Linked DNA regions of Coturnix japonica. The main gene of each other region encodes a partner of the protein of the gene in region 3 in a complex. Links are inferred from orthologs where the notes say so. Each region holds a gene or a part of one and is shown on either strand. Other genes may lie near its edges. The genes, in order: TMEM186, NDUFAF1 and ACAD9.

Region 1 (6,178 bases), on a different chromosome or scaffold from region 3:
GAAAAACAAGAGGAAAAACAAGGTCATTTTTCCCTGCACAGATTTACAAAATATATTGTCAGGTGTATCTAAAAGAGTGCATCAGTGTAACAGTATCACCCCTTTATTTTCCAGTAGTTCCCGTGACTTCAAGCACAAAAACATGAGCAATCAAGTTCTGTGGGTTAACCTGGCCAGAAATGCCTGCTTTTCTAATTGAAATTAATTACTGTCCTCAAAGTAATGCTCCACAGGGAAACACAGGAGACATAATAAAGTTGTTTGGGCTGATGACTTTAAAGAAACAAACAAAAAAGAACAAAACCACAACTAACCAAAAAGTACTTCTGTTAATAGAAACCGTGAAAGGATGGTCCTAAATGAGCTCTGCTCTATTAACCAGTTACCAGGGTTATCTTCACTTAAAACCCTTCACTTTTCACCCTCAAAGCACATAGTATTTATCACCAATTATAAAAACAATACAGAATGAGGATGGTTTGAACTATTAAGCTGTTTTAACCATTTTGTAAGTGAGAAGTCTAAAAGAAAGTCTTTTAATTAAAAAAACAGCTCTTCACAGATTCTTCTTGTATCCTGCGGGGACGTAACGCTGTGGCCTTCGGTTCTGGAGTCTGTGAAAATTTCATAATCATTCCCACCCTGAAAAGGTAAAAAGCAGAGGAAAGTTTCTTTAACGTTATTTAACTCAGTTAAATGCATTAGCTTCAACTAATGCAGTAGCCTGGCATCCTTTTTGTAAATGTAAAAGCAAACAGCATAACCGAGCAGAATTTGCAGGCAAAATCTATTTGAAGCTTCAGACACCCTATTTTTGTTTTTCTTAATTTTCTAAGAGATAGTAACTCATATATATATATATAGTTATATATATATATGTGTGTGTGTCTATTCTAAATTCAGTTCTTGTCAGGCATAATGGAGCTGACAGGAACTGACAGTACTTGCAGTTCAAAACGCAGCCCTGAAACATGTTCCCAAAACAGTTTACTCACTGGCATAGTCTTATCTCCAAAGAAATAAACAGTCTTGTATCCATCTTCTGCAATGATTCCTAAGCAGTACCTCTTGTCCCAGCCATCTGGGAATACGTCAAAGCTTATCTGGCCTCCTACAAGAGACACGAACCAAGAAAGCTTTGTTAAAAGAACACATTTGTCAGAAGTGAGGAAGAACAAAATGGAGTATGACTTTTAGTAGAGTGAATGCTGAGTTGTGGCCTGAAGCATTGATTGAACACCTGGTAAGAAGTGCCCAGGGGCACTCAGGTGCAGGCAATGTACTGAGTGATGGAAGGGCTGAAGCCAGGATCCACCCCTTCCCAGACCTCATTTAAGGGTTAGTAGTGGAGGTGAGAGCATCTTGCTGGAGATCCCTGTGTATCTGAGGCCTTCTGAAGGTAAGCAGCTTCTTTCCTTTGTTTCTGTGCCCATGGCTGTTGTGTTTGAGCATGTTTAGGACCTTGATGCTGTGCTATTGCTGCTGTACTTTCATGTTACAGTGTTTTGTGTTAGGTTGTTTGGCAGGGGGAGGATCTGATTTAAATGAAATGGTGTTTCAAATGAGATTATTTCAAATGTGATACCTATAGAAAATGTGAGGCCTTTTCCTGCAAATTCTCTTCGTAAATCAGCTACAAATTTTTCTCTTATATGCTCCTTCTGTGTAAGAAAAACAAAGAAACAAAAGGGATCAGCTGCACGCTGTGTTAATTCAGCAATAGAAAAATAATAACTAAAAACACCCAATCACCTTATCAAGTTCATAGAACTCAATTCGTTCTTCCTGGCTACAGCTTCTTCCAATGGGGGACACGTTTAACATCCCATTGCGGAATTCAATAAAAGTGCCCCTGAAAGAGAATTAATTAACAAGGCAGAAAACAGATGAAACAACGTTTAAGATACTGAATGTAGCAATGAGGCTTTGTTTAAAGACAGTGGGACCCCTTTACATGAGGTGTCTGCTTTGCACATTGAAGCCCAGCACTCTTAGATGCTGACTTGAGATGCATCCTATGCACATACCTTTTCTTTGGCAGTTTAATCTTTGCAATGTAACTCAGGCAGTAGTTGATGAGGTCTTGGAGCACCTCCTCACCCAGGTGACCCTGAATGTTCTAAACAAAATCAATACCATTAATTAACCCAGGCTCCACATCTGGAGATCCTTGAAACAGTTTAACAGGAGAACACAGCTGGTGGATAATCAGCTGTGATTGCTGGCACAGAGCAGTGGCCTTTCAATAAGGAACTCTCCATTGATTTAACTAGAAGTTCCCACTTTTTTTGCCCCTACCTGCTTGCTGAAGAACTTCCCATCTTTGTAAGCCACGAGCCCGTTCTCTGGAAACACGTAGTCAAACTTCTCAACCACTGCAAACAAACAGGAGGAAGGTGGTGACAGGAACCGCCCGTGTGTTCAAACGTGAGTTACACGGGTTAGAACGAGTGAGATCCCAACGGGAAGAAGGACTCGGTAACCCCGGGCACAGCCCCATCCCGTACCGTCATCACCGAGCTGCTCCTTGATCTTCTCAAAGTCTGAACCCCCGACAACGCCCACCTTCACCTTCTGACGCAACCTCTGCAGGAACTCCGCCATCTCCGCCGTGATTTTCTACGGTCGAAAATCAAACAGTGCAATCGGGGTCAGCATTACCCGGAGCTGTAACAGCCCCGTGCCCAGCCCATACAGCCCCGTGCCCAGCCGTGTGTGCAGCCCATACAGCCCCGTGCTCAGGCGCTGCCCCATTGACCGCTCCAGGCCCCTCATCCCGCCCCGCTCGGCCCTGATCTCCCCCCGCCGTTCTCCACTCACCTGCCGCGGCGCAGTGAGGGTCCCGTCCACATCGAACAGACACAGCACGGCTCGCTCCGCCGGCGCCATCGCGGCTGTGAGCAGCGGGGCCAGCCGGGAAGGGGGCGGTGCTGTGAGACGGCGGCGTGGCAGCGCTTCCCTCATGGCGATGGTGAGTTGTGGTGGTGCGGGGGGAGCTCGGCCTGCTCAGGGTGCGCGGCTTTGGGCCTCGTTGTTCACCTCAGTGTGCCCGCAGGTCCGGCTGTGCTGCGTGAGGAGCGGCCGCGCCTTGTCGGCCATGGGGAGGTGGCTGCATGGGGGGACCTGCAGGACGGTGTGGAAGGAGGAGGCCGCCGGGCCGCCCTGCTCGCTCGGTAGGGCCGTGTGTTGGTGGGCACACAACGGGAGAATCCACGGCTTTCTCGGTGACCGTGTGCCGTCTCGGTTCCTGCGCCGTTGGTCTCACAGAATCACACAGAATCACACATTGACCCGGGTTGGAAGGGACCTCAAGGATCATGTAGTTCCAACCCCCCTGCCTGGCAGGGCCGCTCCTGTCGCTGCCATCCCGCAGGTTGGAGGAGGTAAAAGCGAAGAGTTCCGCGTGGTGTACAGGTTCCCTGGTATTAAATACTGCCGGCTGCTGTCGAGGTTGAAGCTGCTTCAGACCGCAACGACGCTGCTGGTGCTTCCACCCGTGTGTTACCTGCACCTGCAGCAGCAGCTGCCCCAGGCCGTGCTGCTGTACACGGCCGGCATCGCTGTCTTTGCCGCTGTGATGCTGTACGGGATGAGTTACTTTTTCAGACGAATTATCGGGTTGATTTACTTAAGTGAAAGCGGAAGAACCGTCAAAGTGTCCCACATGACGTTCTGGGGGAGGCGCAACGACATCTGCTGCCCCTTGGAGACGGTGATGACTTTGGATGAGGTCGGGGATGCCAGGGGAGAGCTGCTGCTCCGGTTCAGAAGGTACAACAGCACAGAGGTCTTGTATTTCACTATTAAATACGGACAGATTGTGGACAGACAGAAGTTTATGCAGATATTTGGAGAGCTGCAGTGATTCAGCGGCAGCTGATGCCTCTTGTTGTATTGTTCCTTATGTGGATTCTTGCACAACATGCAATTCGTTTATCGAACTGATACACTTCTGTCATTTTTGCCACGTCTGCTGGGCTGTGTGTTCAGTGTAACAGTATCCAACAGTCCTCTGGGTAAGTAAGTAAGTGTTGCAGTTCTGGGGTGAGCAGGAGTGCTCCTTTTGGATGCAGTTAGTGTGTGCAGTGTCACACAGCCATAGAGGCAGCGAGGTGCTGCCCTGCAATGTTTCAGCTTTGGAGGCTTTGGGTAAAAAAAAACCCAAGCTTTCAAAGTGAGTGTCAGAGCATCCTCATTTCAGATTCACCTTCAGCAAGGTTTAGGTTAGCTGGGAAACTTAGTGAAATTCAAGTGCTCCCATACAGTCGTATGATAAATGATGCTAGATGTCAGAGTGATACTGGCCCATGGATTTATGAGCAGTAATTAGTAGTTATAATGGTGAAAAGGCTTCCTGACAATCATAAAATCAGTGTTAAAGAAACGATATTTGGATCAGCTCTGAGTACGCAGGGCTGGTGGCTGTGTGGGTGCAAACAGAACCCAAGTGCTGCTGCACAGCTGATGTCTGGGTGGTTAAAGCCCCTCCAGGAGCCTTCAGTGTTAAATCATTTCCCATTGAAATAAAGGAAGAATGCAGTATTCTTCGTTTGTGGTGCTATGAATGACAGGGAGCCCTTTCTCAGTTCGGATTTTAACAATCATTATGTTGAAATTTGGAACTACTTGTTCTTGTCTGCATATGTTCATGCTGGGGGGGTTGTTTGTATGTATGTGTGAATGACATTTAATCACTGCTGTAGCACTCGAGTTGCAAAAACAGTAAATATTGCTAAAAAATTATCTGAGACTGAAGTCACCAACCTTCTGTTTACCACCATAGATCACCATGTAGCTGTGGTTCAGCTGCTCTGTCCTGCTTGATCTGTGTGTTGATTTGGGCTCTCTAACGTCTACAGCACCCTTGGCAAATACCCACCCACTGCCCTGACCTAAAACAAGGGGAGAAAAGGTAAAACAGATAAAAGCTGTGTTGAATTACAGCTGAGAAGTGTAACAGGTGTAGCTTGTTCTGTTGAACTGGTAGAGCTGATCACAGCCCCCCCTGTGTGTGTGGAGCTCATCACCTCACCCCCTGTGTCTGTAAAGGGCAGAGGAGGTGCTCTGCTGTATTATTGATTCCTCCTTTGCCAAAGCCAAAATCTCAGCAGAAATCAGGATTTAAATCTAGGAACAAATGTAGTTCAATGTACAATGTCCTAAAGGTTTGTACAATGCAGTACAAACCTTTAGGAGCAGCAGATTGTTTGGCACAGGGGAAAGGAGGCCTGGGGACTTTATTACTCTCTACAGTTAGTTACCTCAAAGGAGGCTTTAACAAGGCAGGGCTCAGTCTCTTCTCCCAGGTAATAGTGATTGATAGGATGAGGAAACAGCCTCAAGTTTAAGCTGTTTAAGGGTAATTTTAAGGGTATTATAAGAAGTCTTTTTGAAGCACTATGGCAGGCTGTCCCGGGCAAAGCTGAGGTACTGAAAAGACTCAACACATGCAGTGCTGAGGGACGTGGTTTAGTGGCCGTTCTAGGTTAACAGTTGGATTTGATGACTTCTGAGATCATTTCCAGCACATCAGCTAACCTCACCAGCAGCGACATCTGGAACGTGCTTTTCGGTCTATTCCTCGGGCCTACTAAAATCCATCTCAGTGGATCAGCAGATCAGGTAGGTACAATTGCTGTTACAGTGCAAATGCTAACCCCGATGTACTGCCCACTCATGTTGAATGTCTCCTGATTGGGGTCTCCATCTCAGTTTTGGCTGATAGCGAGTTGTGCAGCAATATCAAAAAGAAAATAAAAATGTTCCTTGGCTTAAATGCTGTGGGAGCAGAATCTCAGCTGACTGAAGTGGTCTGGTATGGGTTGTGGAGAAATCTCTTCATGTGAATGTAGTTAATATGTGCACTAATGATTCAGCCTAGGCACGTGCTAGGGGTAAAATAAAGAGCCTTGGGGCAGTTGAATTATAAATATTTTATTTAAGAATACTGATTACACGAGATGTCATTGTTTGTTTTATGAATCTGTGTACAGTTACTGGTTACACCATGAAGTGTAGTTAAGTATTGGCTTAAACATTTATTTGGCACTGTCCACAGTATGTTGTAAACAATATTAACTTCATACGCTTCAGCTGCAGTGCTTCCTATGTATTCTCTAACATGATCTCATCAGCATGTTGTACACAATTATACAGTTACTGAGTGTCAGTAAAAATT
Region 2 (6,868 bases), on a different chromosome or scaffold from region 3:
AATGTTACAAAAGGATTTTGAAAGCCCTAAGTAGGAAATATTATCACCATCACTTTTTTGAACAAATGAATTACCTTTGGGTCTCTGGCATTTAGACCAGGTAAAAATTTAGAAAACCCTAATTACATTGCACAGCGTTAACACCAAAAGCCAAATGCCACTAAAGAGTCCAGGGCAACAAATGCTTGAGCAGTTCATCTTCCTTTTAAAGACATTTCTTTACTAGGAGAGTGGTTCGGCCCTGGAACAGGCTGCCCAGGGAGGTTGTGGATGCCCCGTCCTTGGAGGTGTTCAAGGCCAGGTTGGACGGGGCCATGGGCAACCTGATCTAGTAAAGGTGTATGTTTGGTGGCCCTGCCAGGCAGGGGGGTTGGAACTACATGATCCTTGAGGTCCCTTCCAACCCGGCTCATTCTGTGATTCTGTGATTTGAAACCATACACGTTATAAAGGAGATATATCACAGCTGATGCTTCTGGCGAGACTGTTCAACTCTGTTTCAGCATCCTCAGGTGCCAGGGATGGCACTAAAAGCAGGGGACACACACAGAGCAGGCACCAAGCTCAGACTTGTGAAGCAGCCCCAAAAGCCACACAGGTAACCAAGAAGAAGTACCGGCTCACAAACAAACTCATCATCTGCTGCTCACGGATTGTCCAGGTGACAGAAGCAGTAATTCAAACCAATTATTTCTGAAGCTGCAGTGCTGTCTTTGTAGCCTATGATTTAATTTATTGTTAAAAGCATTGCTCTGGGGCTGATGAATCTTAGTGGTGAGCAAAAATAAAGCCACACCAACTTCTGCAAGCTTGGGAAGACAATACTGGTTGGGTTTGAATTAGATTCACATCTGAAAGACCATCTCCACAGCAAACAGATTAGAGTTTAGGACCTCAAGTGAGAACACAAACATTGCTGAGGCTGAAGGCCTAGGCTTTTACCTACAAAGTTGGCAATGGCACTTCACAAATGATGTTCTGAAGACAAGATCCAACACCAACAGAATGTATTTCTACAATAAGAGGCTCCCACGAGGAAGCACCTGGTGTTTTCTACAACCCTTTTCTAGACATCACCTCTAACAGCAGTCACTAAGTTGTACTTCTACACAGACTGTGTTCCATCATGATATCTCGGTGTTAACACTTACTGCCACCTTTACTCCAAGCAATACAAGCAACTCCTCCTGCTTTCAGGTTCTGAAGTGACTATGGAATTAATACAGCAGGGTGAGAAGCTGACAGCTTTACAAGGCGGCAAGATCAGTACCATCAGGGCAGGATCTATGGTATGTTTGTTTAAAGGGGCGTAGAATTTGCAGCTCCAGTCTGCAAAAGCATTTCTGAGCATTTGAGGCCAGTGTTATTTATTTACAACACAGCAACAGCTTCTCTATTAAAAACTCAAAGGCCCAGCACACAGACAGACGTGTAGGCACCAGCACGTGAAATCAACCCAGCTTCTTCATAGAAGAAGGAGGGCACAGTAGATACACCACACTTTGCCTACATCTTTATTTACCACCTGTCAGCAGCTGCTGCCCTGAGAGCTGGAGCGCTGAGAATGACCCTGCAGAGAGGAGTGCAGCGCTGCCATACGCACATCGCGCTGCCCCACACCGCACTCCCAGCCCCACCAGGTGCTCCAACGGCAGCGCACGGCTCCCACCAGCACAGCGCAGCGCAGCCGGCAGGGCCCGGCACGGAGCACCCGCATGCGGCTCCCGGGATCGGCCGCCCGTGCACGGCGCTTCCCGTGGAGCAGGCGGCAGTACACACACACAGCACACACAGCACACACACACAGCACACACAGCACATACACACAGCACACACACACACACACAGCACACACACACACAGCACACACACACACAGCACACACACACACACACACACACACACACAACACACACACACAACACACAGCACACACAAACAGCACACACAAACAGCACACACAAACAGCACACACAAACAGCACACACACAGCACACACACAGCACACACACACACACAGCACACACACACACACAGCACACACACACACACACAGCACACACACACACAGCAACACAACTACACAGCAACACAACAACACAACCACACAACAACACAACACAACAACACAACCACACAGCAACACACCAGAAACACACAACACGACCACACGACACACACATCCAGAGCACACACACATCCCAAGCACACACACACCCCGAGCACACACATACACCCCGAGCACACACATCTAGAGCACACACACACAACACACAGCACACACACACAGCACGGCTCCCCGCCGCCATGCCCCCCGCCCGCGCCTCAGGATCCCGCGGGCCGAACCCCCGCGCATCCCCGCGGCCCCGTGCTGCTCAGCCGCCGGTACTGCCGGGCAGGGCGGCCCGAAGCGGCGCCGCGCGGTCTGTCCGCGGAGCCCCCCCCGGGGCCGCATCCCGGCCGGGCCGAGGGGAGGAGAGAAGGACGGATGGCGGCTCCCGGCCCCTCGCGGCCCGGAGGGCCCGGTCCGGGCCTCCCCGCGCACCTGGTCGAGGTTCTCCTCGCTGCCGCTGTCCTCGGTGTCGGAGTCGATGAGGACGCGGCCTTTCCGCTTCTTCACCATGGCGGAGCCGCCTTCCCCGCGTCCCTCTCGGCCGGCGGCGGCGCGGCGCTCCTCACGGCCCGGCCTGCCCCGCGCCGCCCGCCCGACCGGGACACAAAGGGCACCGCGCATGCGCACCGCGACGGGGCGGGAAGGAGGGCGGGGCCGCCGCGGGTCGTTCCGCTGCCCGTGAGCGGAGTAGGGCGACATGGCGGCAGCGGCCCGTTCCGCTCCTCGGGGATCGGGACTTCGCGCACAGGCCGCTCCCCCGGCCGCATCTCCCGTTCTGTCCACGCACCGCTCCTGCCCGGCCCCCGCAGGCGGCCGTCTGCCCCAAACCGTAACTCATTAAGCACAAACACACGGGGAAGGGCTCCTGGGTCCCTCCGCGCCGCGCGGGTGTGAGGCCGCGCCGTGGGCGGAACCTGAGCGGCCTGGAGCGCGTTCCCCGCCGGGCACGGAAACGCCGAGGAGCCGCGGCTTGAGGTGAGAGGAGCGGGGAGGCACGAGCGGGGCGGGGGGGGAAACCGGGCTGTGGTACGGAACGGCACCGCACGGCACGGCACAGCACTGCCATGCGGCGGGATGCAGCCATCCCAGGGACCGGCCTGAGCAGCCTGAGGGGCCGCGGCCTTGAGAGGTGTCCGCCTAGAGGAGCGCTGTGCCTGAGGCTGTTCTTGTTGGTGTTGGTCGAGAATAACTAAGCGTACATCGGGTGGAAGGTTAGCAGGAATAGCTGTGTTTATCTACTCTTTGCTTTTGTTTAATGTATTTGATTCTTTTCGTATTTCACATCACTGGGCAAGAAACACTGAAACAACCTAGAGGGCCGAGGAAGTGTAATACTCGGCATTATTTGTTATTCCTTTTTCTTAATGGCTGGAATTTCTAATTAATGTGACTTTAGAAATATATACATGCACCTAGTGTTTCTAAATCTTTAATTTTTCTTTTCTCTTTTTCATTGAAGGTGGGGGTTAACTGCAGTTACAACACAGGATACATCCAGATACGAATTTGGCTGTTAATTTCAACCCTATCGATTGCCCTGCTGGAAGCAGCTCCTTTTAGTTACCAGCATGGCTCTGTCTGTCACGTTGCTGAGCATCGCAGGCTCACACAGTAGATGCTGCAGACACAAAGTTTTGCAGCCCTTGCTTGGAACTGTCCGTGTTGACTCCGTGTCAAAATGTTACAGCAGTTACCGGAGGCCGGGGGCGCAGCCTGAGGTGAAACCGTCTTGGCGAAACATTGATTTCAGCTTTAAGAAGGGCTTTGATGCCTTAAAGACCCAGCTAAAGCTGCTGAAGCAGGAGACCAAAGATCATCTCACAGGACCTGATGGCCAATCATTCAGTCAGTACCTGCTGGAACAGACGAAGGTGATGTGGGAGTTTCGGAGCCAGGAAGATTTAGATAAATGGGTTATCTCCTCCGATGTAGAGATTGGAGGGAAAAGTGAAGTTCACCTAAAGCTGGGTAGGAACAACCAGGGTGCCATGCTGTATGGAGTACTCAATACTGAAGTACCTCGGGATGGGGAGACCAAATACAGTGGATATTGTAGCATGAGAGCCAAACCAGCCGTGGTAAGTACAGCATCTGTTACTCGAGTGTTTCTCTGTAATCCCAGTGATGACGGGTGGGCTGCTGGTTACTGTGGTTGTGACCCATCACCTTCAGGATTATCAGATACTGCTTGTATAGATGTAATTGCTCTTGTATCCATTGACCTGGAAGGAACTTAAAAGTCTAGCTTGGCTTTTCTTAGAAAATAGTGCATTTGATCATTTGCTGATGTAACATCACTCAGTAACACAGTCCTGTTTGTGTTTTCTTCACAGAAGAGGGATTTATAGCAAAACCATAAAATCAAGTAGCCGCAGTCTTTGTATTAGTGTGTTCATTAATTATCTACCAACTGTGAGCTTATATAAGGAAGGCTTCATTTTATTTATAAGGATGGTTAACTGTAGTAGCGCTGTGATGTTAAGGAGAAGCCTCAGGATTGATGGTGCAAGTTTTGGTTTGGTTTGAGCAGTTCTGGCCTAGAATATCCCTGATGCCACCCTAGTGCTCCAGTGACATCACTAACATTCCGCAGAGGTCATGGGAGCTGTCAGAGCATATGAGCAGAATATGGAGCATATCACAGCTCTGGGACTTTGGAAGATCTGTGGATAATACACTTGGGGCCTGGATGTGCTTGTAACCTGGATCATTGTGCAGTTAGCGTCAAAACCTGTTGGGAAATGTGTAAGTGCTTTTAGTCCTCCTGTCAGTCTTCAGTAGAGAAAGTCAGTTACCACAGGGGATACATTATCCCACGTTTCTTGTAACCTCTTCTGAGTAGTCTAGTGCTCACCACAGAATATTAAACAACTATTAAACTAGGCCTGTAGTTAGAGCATTTGTGTTCTTGTCTAGGAGGGGATTTGTTCTTAGGAGATAAATCTGATAATTACCAGATTTATAATGAATGTGTGGATCTTCAGAGTGGTGATACTACGTTTTGTGGTTTCTCATGTGGTCTCTTTGTTGAGATGCGAGACTGCTCTGATGAAAAAGGACCCCGGTTTCACTGCATCACGGTTATTTGCAGTAAGAACAAGGGCAGTGATCCAAGCAGTAGTGCTCATAATGCAGATTTCCTTTTAAGTACGAAGGTGGGATAATTCTATTTCTTATTTGTAGGGATCTTTTGCTAGGAAGAAGTATTACGACTGGTCCAACTTCAACAGTCTGTATTTACGTGTCCGTGGTGATGGCAGAGCTTGGATGGTCAACATTTATACAGACCCTTACTTCTCCCATCAAAAGGATGACCTGTACAACTACTTCATGTTCACCCGAGGTGGACCGTACTGGGAGGAAATAAAGGTAAACGAATGAGTCGCTAAATCTGAAAGTAACTTTTCTAACTAGGTGCAGTTCTAGACATTTCTGAAGCAAAGGCTGTTTCAGGGCCATAGCTGTAGCTCTGTGGAATGACAGCTCTTTCAGCAGTTATCATTTATTGCTGTTTAAATACTTAGCCCATTTAATTGTGTTCTCCACGTGTCTGTGGTGTATCCACATACAGACGTGGCCCTTTGATTTGGAAGGTCCCAGTGCTGTAACTTACTGGATTGTGGGAGTATAAACTGTGAAAATTAAATCAAATAATACAATAAATTTAGTGTTAGTATATGAATATGTTATCTATTATGTATTTTAAATAATCTACCACGTGTTTCCCGGAATGTCTGTTGTTTGCTGTTACAGGAGGCAGACCTTTGAACTGGGCTGGCGCTATACATGTATACTATATCCCATGCTATAGAATGGGAATATATGTGCTATAATACATACATTATGACAAATGTATGTATATACTTAAATTTAATTAATTGAAACAAACAAACAATAAATTCTACTCCTATCTGAAATTGGCTTCATGAGCTGAGGGCTCTTTAGTACAGACTAACAAAAAATGAGCCACCAAAACTAGAACATCGTGGTTGTCCCACGTGTGTGTGGGGCTGTAGTGGCGCTCAGGAGCACCTGCCATTCTGTATCTATGATTGTCTGGGAGCCTGTGGGTCTTAACACTGGGAAACACAACAAGCAGCCACACAGGGTGCATACTCAGCTCATACAGTGGGTGGTCAGAGCATGCACTGAATAGATGCAGCTATTGCAGCTTTGCAGGCAGCGCCAGGAACTTTCTATGCAATAACCGTTTTATCTGTAATGAATGGACTTAGATTGGTGTAGGATGTGTACCCTTCAACATGGTTTGCCAAACTTGGAGTCACTTGGGGCCTCAGAGGTGTGTGGATTGTTAGTCACAGCCTTTGAATCTGTGACACCCTGTAATGTTGGCAAGAAATGGGAGTTTCAGCTCTTTTCTGAGGACAGTGAAGTGTGTCACTGCTGGCCTGCACGTGTTCCTCACTCACAGCAGCCAGTTCTCGTTTCCTGTCCCTTGTCACAGCCCTCCTTTCTTGTTCCCACCCAGTTCAAATCACTGTTATATTTTTGTGAACTGTTTGCTAGGACGTTGATGTCTTTGAATGAAATTTGCAGTATAGAATATGCAGGCTGGATGTGGATGAGCTCTCCGTGGGCCTATAGTGCATCCTAGACTTCTCATTAATTTGTTAAAGCTGACACGCCATTGGAAGGTGATATTCTAGATGTGAACAGCCATCTTCCATGCTTCAACCTCTCCTGCGTCAATCTGAGCTATCTCTGAGCATCCAGCTAGCTCAGAATCCAGCCTAA
Region 3 (6,205 bases):
AAAGGTTTCAGGTTTCCCTTCACCTGTGGTGTCACAGGAGAGATAAAAAACCCACCCTATAAACCCAGCCCAATGCAGTTGCCCAGCTAGAATCTTACTTGGTAAAACAAATGCCAACACTGCAAAAGATGAGTGTTTTCTACAAGCTTTTAACAAAAAACGCATTTCCAGTCTGTGAGTGGATACCTTGGAGCCATTCAGTACGAAGTGCTTCCCATCTTCACTGAGGGTTGCTCTTGATTGGATGGATGCAGCATCACTTCCACTAAAAGCAAAACAAGTTCCTTGTTGGTGTTTAAAGACATAAACACGTTATTAGGAAACAGAACTACTTCCCCCCCGTCTTCCCCCCAGCACCTTTGCTGGGCTGCACTATCAGCTAACAGACCTCAAGCTGAATCTGTTATACTAAAACACAACCAAGTTTATAACATCTAAGTTACTCCTCAAGAGCTTATAACCTAGTTGGATACCCTAATGGAAAAAGGCTCAGCAGAAATGAAAAACAGACGACATGTGACAGGACTCCATCCACAAACATTTGGGCTCAATACAGGAGTAAAACTGCAGGCCAGCTACCACAAAGACATTGAGAATTGCTGTTCTTGTCATTAAACGTTTAAGCACCCCCTTCAATCATCACCTTATTACATAGGGGAGTGAGAAGCACATCATTTCCCCCTTGAAACAAATTCAAGCACAGCAATGTCTCACACTGGGCTTTCAGCTGCAGACAAGTTCCTGGAACACCAAGATCTCAGCTGATGCTTTAATAGGATCAGAGTTCTAAAACTCAGCTGTAAAAATGACTGTCCTGTGTGCTAGAACAGAAATACCAGCAGAGGCTGGAGCTGCACTTACAAGGACCAGCAATTTTCAAAAATCATACAAGGCTAAATAAAGTTGTTAGAGGACTTTCCGAACAAAGTCAGCCCTTGTTTCCTTCCTGCAAGTCATTTCAAAGTCCCTTGCATGGATTACTTTGTTAAAAGTTTAAGTGATCAGCCATCCCACAGCAAACCACCTGCCAGCATGATTTTAATGGAGCCGCCTCATTTGCACTGACAGAACTTGCTGGTTTGATCAAGGATTAAACTCAAATACAACCCTGGCTTCAAAAGGAGGTTGCTGCTACAAAGATACCTTTTATAAACACCCCCAGGTGTCTATATAAGGACCAAAAGTCCTTCCTATTATTTTTATACAGTGACAAAGCAATCAGACAGTAAAGGAAGCATCATCTTGGTGTTCTGGTGCTTTCTGAAGATTTCCTAGTTACAAGAGCAGTACCTTCCAGGTTCAGTGAGACAGAAGGCTGCAATGTGCTCCCCAGACGCCAGCTTAGGCAGGTACTTGGCCTTCTGCTGCTCAGTGCCAGCAATCAGGATTCCCTGCACACAGAATTAAAACTTTTCAGCATCAAACGATGTCAGCAGAACTGAAGCAAACTGCACCAATGTTAATCTGCAAATTATATGGCATAACAAGGCAGTACTAAGAACAAGTTCAATAAACAAAGGACTTTATTACTGATCAGGCATTAAAAGATGCCAAAGTAACAGCTGTTCAGAGGCCCCCAAGAAGCAGCTCGCTGTTAAGGCTGCCTTCTCAGGGAGGTTCCTGGATCCTAATGCTGGAAGCAAGGATGTAATTGTTGCTGTGAAAGGCACAGACACAGCCCTCCCTTCATAACTCATCATACCTTCATTATGATTTTATTAAGTAACTCAAAAAGGATCGACTCTAGAAGCTCCTAATCAGAGAACAGAACGTGATTTACTTAATTTCCAAACTATTTCACTACAAAGCATAATGTTACTTTAATTATTATTGTAGAGAGTCGTATTTATTTTCTATACGGGGGTTCTTATGATTAAGCAGATAAAATATCAGTACCAACAAATGAGGAAGGATTTGTGTCAGCTTCATACCTTCAGCCCAATAGCCTGGTGAGCTGCCAGAGTAACCGCGATCGATCCATCCAAGGAGATGATTTCTCCCAGCCGTGCGTACATGATGTGTGACAGTCCGAGACCACCTGGAACAAACACTGTGCTTTATTCCAAGCAGGTACCTCACAGTTTAACTCACTCACTCCTACTCAAAAATTCCCTTTTAAATACAGCCATATTTTAATAGTGGTGCTTGCTGGGGAACACCTCAGTATGGACAGCCCACAAACAGCTGCCACGTGCTGCAGGTGTGACATTAGAGCTCATCTAAAGCACAACAAAAGGCTTTTTTAAATAAACACGAGTTGTGCTAAGCGTAGTTCTATTGAAAAAACAGACCTGTGTATGCATGCATGCACCCAATGGTACAACAAGCCTATAAAAAGGGAGAAATCAGTAAAAGATTTGGTATAAAAATGTCTCGATTCTGGATTTCTGTGCATCCAGGATAAAATTACTGTCCTGACCTTGCAGAAGGGAAGGAAGCCCAGCAGAGCTCTGCAGCTGAGCAGGCAGCAGAGGGAGCAGCGCTGCACGGGGCACACAGGGCGCTCAGCCAGGAAACAAAGTGGAAGTGACATGGAGCAGATCCACAGTCAGAGCTGCACTAAGAATGAAACGTTGCACTTCCACGTCACAGACGCACCCGTCCGAGGGCAGCGTTCAAGGACACGATGTTTTCAGCACTGCAAGTCCCACTCGCCAGCACTTAAGACTACAATGAGTATTACTGAATAAACAGTTTTATCTGAGCAAGAGAATCTTTTGCCCAGGTTTATGGGTTTATAATTCTTTACAAGAGACAGTGACAGAAGTCAGGATGACAAGCGCCTTAATTTCAGCAGACATCTCAATAGTGCAGCTGTTTTCTGCACATGAAATAACAAGTCCCCTCAATGCCATCCATTCCAATCACTGCTCCTCACACCCCATTCCTTCACAGCTTCTAATGAAGTCAGAATCCCATCCAGCTACAGCTCTTTCTTTTCCCACCCTGAGGAGCACTGAGCTCAGAGACCACTGATGTGTGCACCCTGACTGCAGTGATGACAAGACAAAGAGCACTTCTACACCACGAGCATCAGCTCCATCTTCCCATTAAAGTTCTGCATTTGAAACACAAATACACCACGACTACAAACCACTACAAAAAACACCATGCACTGAGCAAGGCACCAAATATATTAGACTGAAGAATTTTCAAGTACAACAAGCACTTCTAGCACAAATATAGCAGGTTTAAACAACAAAAATGGGAAATAAGCTCATCATAAGTGTATTAGTCATGGTGTGGTGAAAAAAGTAACCTGCTGATAGCAATCTGATTTTCATCCAGCATATATGAATACAGGACAGCAGGACTATGGTTTTATACAAGTACCATGAATGGGCTGCAAGCTTCTAAAAACCAGAACTGACAGTATTATATGGCAATGCAAAAAGTAATAATAATTTGTTAAGGATTTTAAGTCAGATACTCATTTCTAATTAACAGTAAATTACATTTTCAATGTCATGATGTTTTCTTATCATCTGCTTTGAGTTGTTTCCTTTGTCCTCTGCTTCCAACACCTCCTTTCATTGGATATTAACTTCCTGCCGTCTCAGTATGTTTCTTAATTCCTAATTACCCCCCCTCCCCATGTGAGTTAAGGTGCTCTGTCCAAAGCACCATCCTGGAAATAAAACCTTGATGGTGCTTGCAGATCTGTTCTCCATCCTACTCCCGCATTGCCTTGCTGTGCTCTAAATACCCATTGAAAAACACTTTACAGCATTTCTAAGGCATTCCAAAAGCATTAACAACATTAAACAGAGATCACATAATGATACTTTACATGCAGGTTGTCCAAAATACTCTAATTTGGGAAAAACCTCTAAGGAAGTGAAATCAGTGGAGCTTAGCAACACCACTTATGTTAATACAATAAAACAACAAACAGAACAAAACCCTTTATGGAAATAAGGGTATTACCTCAACAGCAAACTAACACTGAGGTACATCTCCAGCTCTATCCAGCATTCTTACAAATACTGGAACAAATGTGCTGTTTCACACTATTGTGAAGTGTCCTCCCCACTGAAATTAATTACTACAGACTGTCAAACCCAGTTCCACCTTCCTTTGAATCCTCCTCTTCCAGTCGCTCTCCTGTTCTACACTAGAAAGCAGACAATGCATCTCTTTCCTTATTTTATATATTTCAAGTTATGAACCAGTTTCAATCCCATTTTCAAAACACATCAGAATATGACTGTAATTTTCTTGCTGTTGCAAGTTTAAGAGTTAATCCACTGAGTAAGTAATGTCTGATCCCAGCTTACTCTGTAACCCCCTTTAAGACACAAGCTTTGTGTTCAAATATGTTTTACAACAAAGGCCACATTGTGTATCACAAGGCACTGCACTTCTCTAACTCTGTGCAGTCAAACACATTCCTGTCAGTGAATGACAGCTCTGACAGATCCATCAGACACTGCTGTCTGTACCTGGTCTAATTTTAGCAATCATCATCTTGTCCTTCATGTCCCACAGAACATCACGCTACTCCACTGCAGCCAAACATTGGACTAAAAGGAAAACTCTGTGCCAGGGGCAATGTACACCTGGTAAATGCAATTACCCAACTTGGGTACCTTTAAGCCAGGAGAGTGCACAGCACCGCACTGACACCTTCAGTGCCCACACCTCTGTGTTAACTGGACAGCCACAACAATACACAGGAATCACAGACACATGATGTGACAGCCAAGTATCTTACCACAGGTCACCAGGTTATTCTTTTTGATCACTTACTCACCATATTCCTCTGGAATCATCATGCCAAAGAGACCCAGATCCCTCAGTCCTTTCAAAGTTTCAGGTGGGATTTTTGCATCAAGATCAATCTTCCTGGAGTCCACTACAAATACAGAAAGTTTAATAATTTAAAGCCTTGATTTTCATCACAGAGAAAAACGTGAGATCACCGCGCTCTGAAATCAGAGCTAAGGTCACTGCGTCCATGAGTCACCAGCACTGTGCCCTCTAACCTAAATACCAGCTTGAGAAGAACTGAAATAGCCTGCAGAAAAAATGGCTGCGGGAACAGCACGCCTCCCCTGCTCTAATTACCCGGTGGATTTCTGAAGCAGCTTAGTAATATTGTGCTTGTTGCACCACATACCTACATACATCTCATCCCTACTGTCACAAGACTTATTTATTCTAGGTTTAGCCTGATCTTATGAGCCATCCTGTTTGCCTCTGTCCCCTCATGGCTGGAAATCTCAAACCCTAAGCTGGCTCCTGTAAGACTAATGGTCTCAGCCTCCTTCCCCAACCAGTCTCCTCCCAGCAGAGCAAAACACTCTTCCTACACACTCCTTCCAGAAGTCCAACTTTGTTTCCAGAAGGCTTTGTCCTTCAGGAGAGATGTGATACATTAACTTGAGCAATTGCTTTTCCAAAGGCAATTTCCTGGTTTTCCGGAAGCACCAACTTTACTCATGAAATGAGCTGAAAGCATTAAGAAGAACCTGATCTGCCATGGAGCCAACACTCCACCTGATCACCCCACCTTATTACACACACCATTAAGGCCTAAACACCAGAAGATCCCAGAACACTGACTATGACACTCAGATCATGACAGACCTGAGGAAAGGACTTGGAAGTGGGGAAAAAAATCTCATTTTTGTTTCATTGCCTTGAATGTGTGCTCCAGTGGACTCAGTGACTGGAGTAAGTCAGGCATTTCTTACCAAACTATACCATGGCCATCATTTTTTTTCCAAGTCCTTAATCATGGAATCATAGAACAGCATATAATTGGGAAATGGGCTCATTACACAACTCTGGTTCTTATGAGGCATTTAAATTCTTAGGGGACGACCACAGCGGTTCTGCACAGTGACAGGGAAAATACACCAGCATCACAGCAGGCAGCTGAGGAAGGGTGGAGGATACAGCAAAAGGGATGACAGCCACCTTGCCAGAGAGCACTCAGAAAAGTCACTGTAAAAGCAGCAGTGTGTTCCTAAAGGAACTTCCCACCCAGAGCTCTACACCACAGACTGCCAGGCTTTAGAACCATGGCTGAACTGAACTTCTTTGGTTACCCGGTGCCAGCCATACGTATCAGGTTTCCAAGCACCTACGGCTGCTCCCCTTATCTGTTTTATATCGCAGCCCACAGACTGGCCTAATCATTAGGCAGAAACAGCCATTAATGCAAACAAAGACAATCAATTCCTACCTTCTGTCCAGACTT

Evidence for each region.
Region 1: ACAD9 (region 3) and TMEM186 share a complex: the UniProt entries of both Homo sapiens proteins name them as parts of the mitochondrial complex. The link is inferred for Coturnix japonica from reciprocal best matches to the Homo sapiens genes ACAD9 and TMEM186.
Region 2: ACAD9 (region 3) and NDUFAF1 share a complex: the UniProt entries of both Homo sapiens proteins name them as parts of the mitochondrial complex. The link is inferred for Coturnix japonica from reciprocal best matches to the Homo sapiens genes ACAD9 and NDUFAF1.

The regions. Positions count from the first base shown.
Region 1 is NC_029529.1:9,414,947-9,421,124, forward strand, and holds TMEM186 (transmembrane protein 186), read left to right. Parts: upstream 1-2,962; coding exon 2,963-2,971; exon of another isoform or gene 2,972-3,055; coding exon 3,056-3,865; 3' UTR 3,866-4,743; downstream 4,744-6,178. Other genes in the region: PMM2 (phosphomannomutase 2), read right to left, coding at 541-642, 996-1,111, 1,586-1,661, 1,753-1,852, 2,028-2,119, 2,299-2,375, 2,508-2,619, 2,821-2,964. UniProt on the Homo sapiens protein: As part of the MCIA complex, required for efficient assembly of the mitochondrial complex I.
Region 2 is NC_029520.1:21,998,496-22,005,363, reverse strand, and holds the start of NDUFAF1 (complex I intermediate-associated protein 30, mitochondrial), read left to right. Parts: upstream 1-2,855; 5' UTR 2,856-3,088; intron 3,089-3,572; 5' UTR 3,573-3,681; coding exon 3,682-4,191; intron 4,192-5,296; coding exon 5,297-5,482; intron 5,483-6,868. Other genes in the region: RNA polymerase-associated protein RTF1 homolog, read right to left, coding at 2,546-2,812. UniProt on the Homo sapiens protein: As part of the MCIA complex, involved in the assembly of the mitochondrial complex I.
Region 3 is NC_029527.1:3,510,617-3,516,821, forward strand, and holds part of ACAD9 (complex I assembly factor ACAD9, mitochondrial), read right to left. Parts: intron 4,856-6,205; coding exon 4,754-4,855; intron 2,039-4,753; coding exon 1,932-2,038; intron 1,392-1,931; coding exon 1,291-1,391; intron 266-1,290; coding exon 187-265; intron 1-186. UniProt on the Homo sapiens protein: As part of the MCIA complex, primarily participates in the assembly of the mitochondrial complex I and therefore plays a role in oxidative phosphorylation.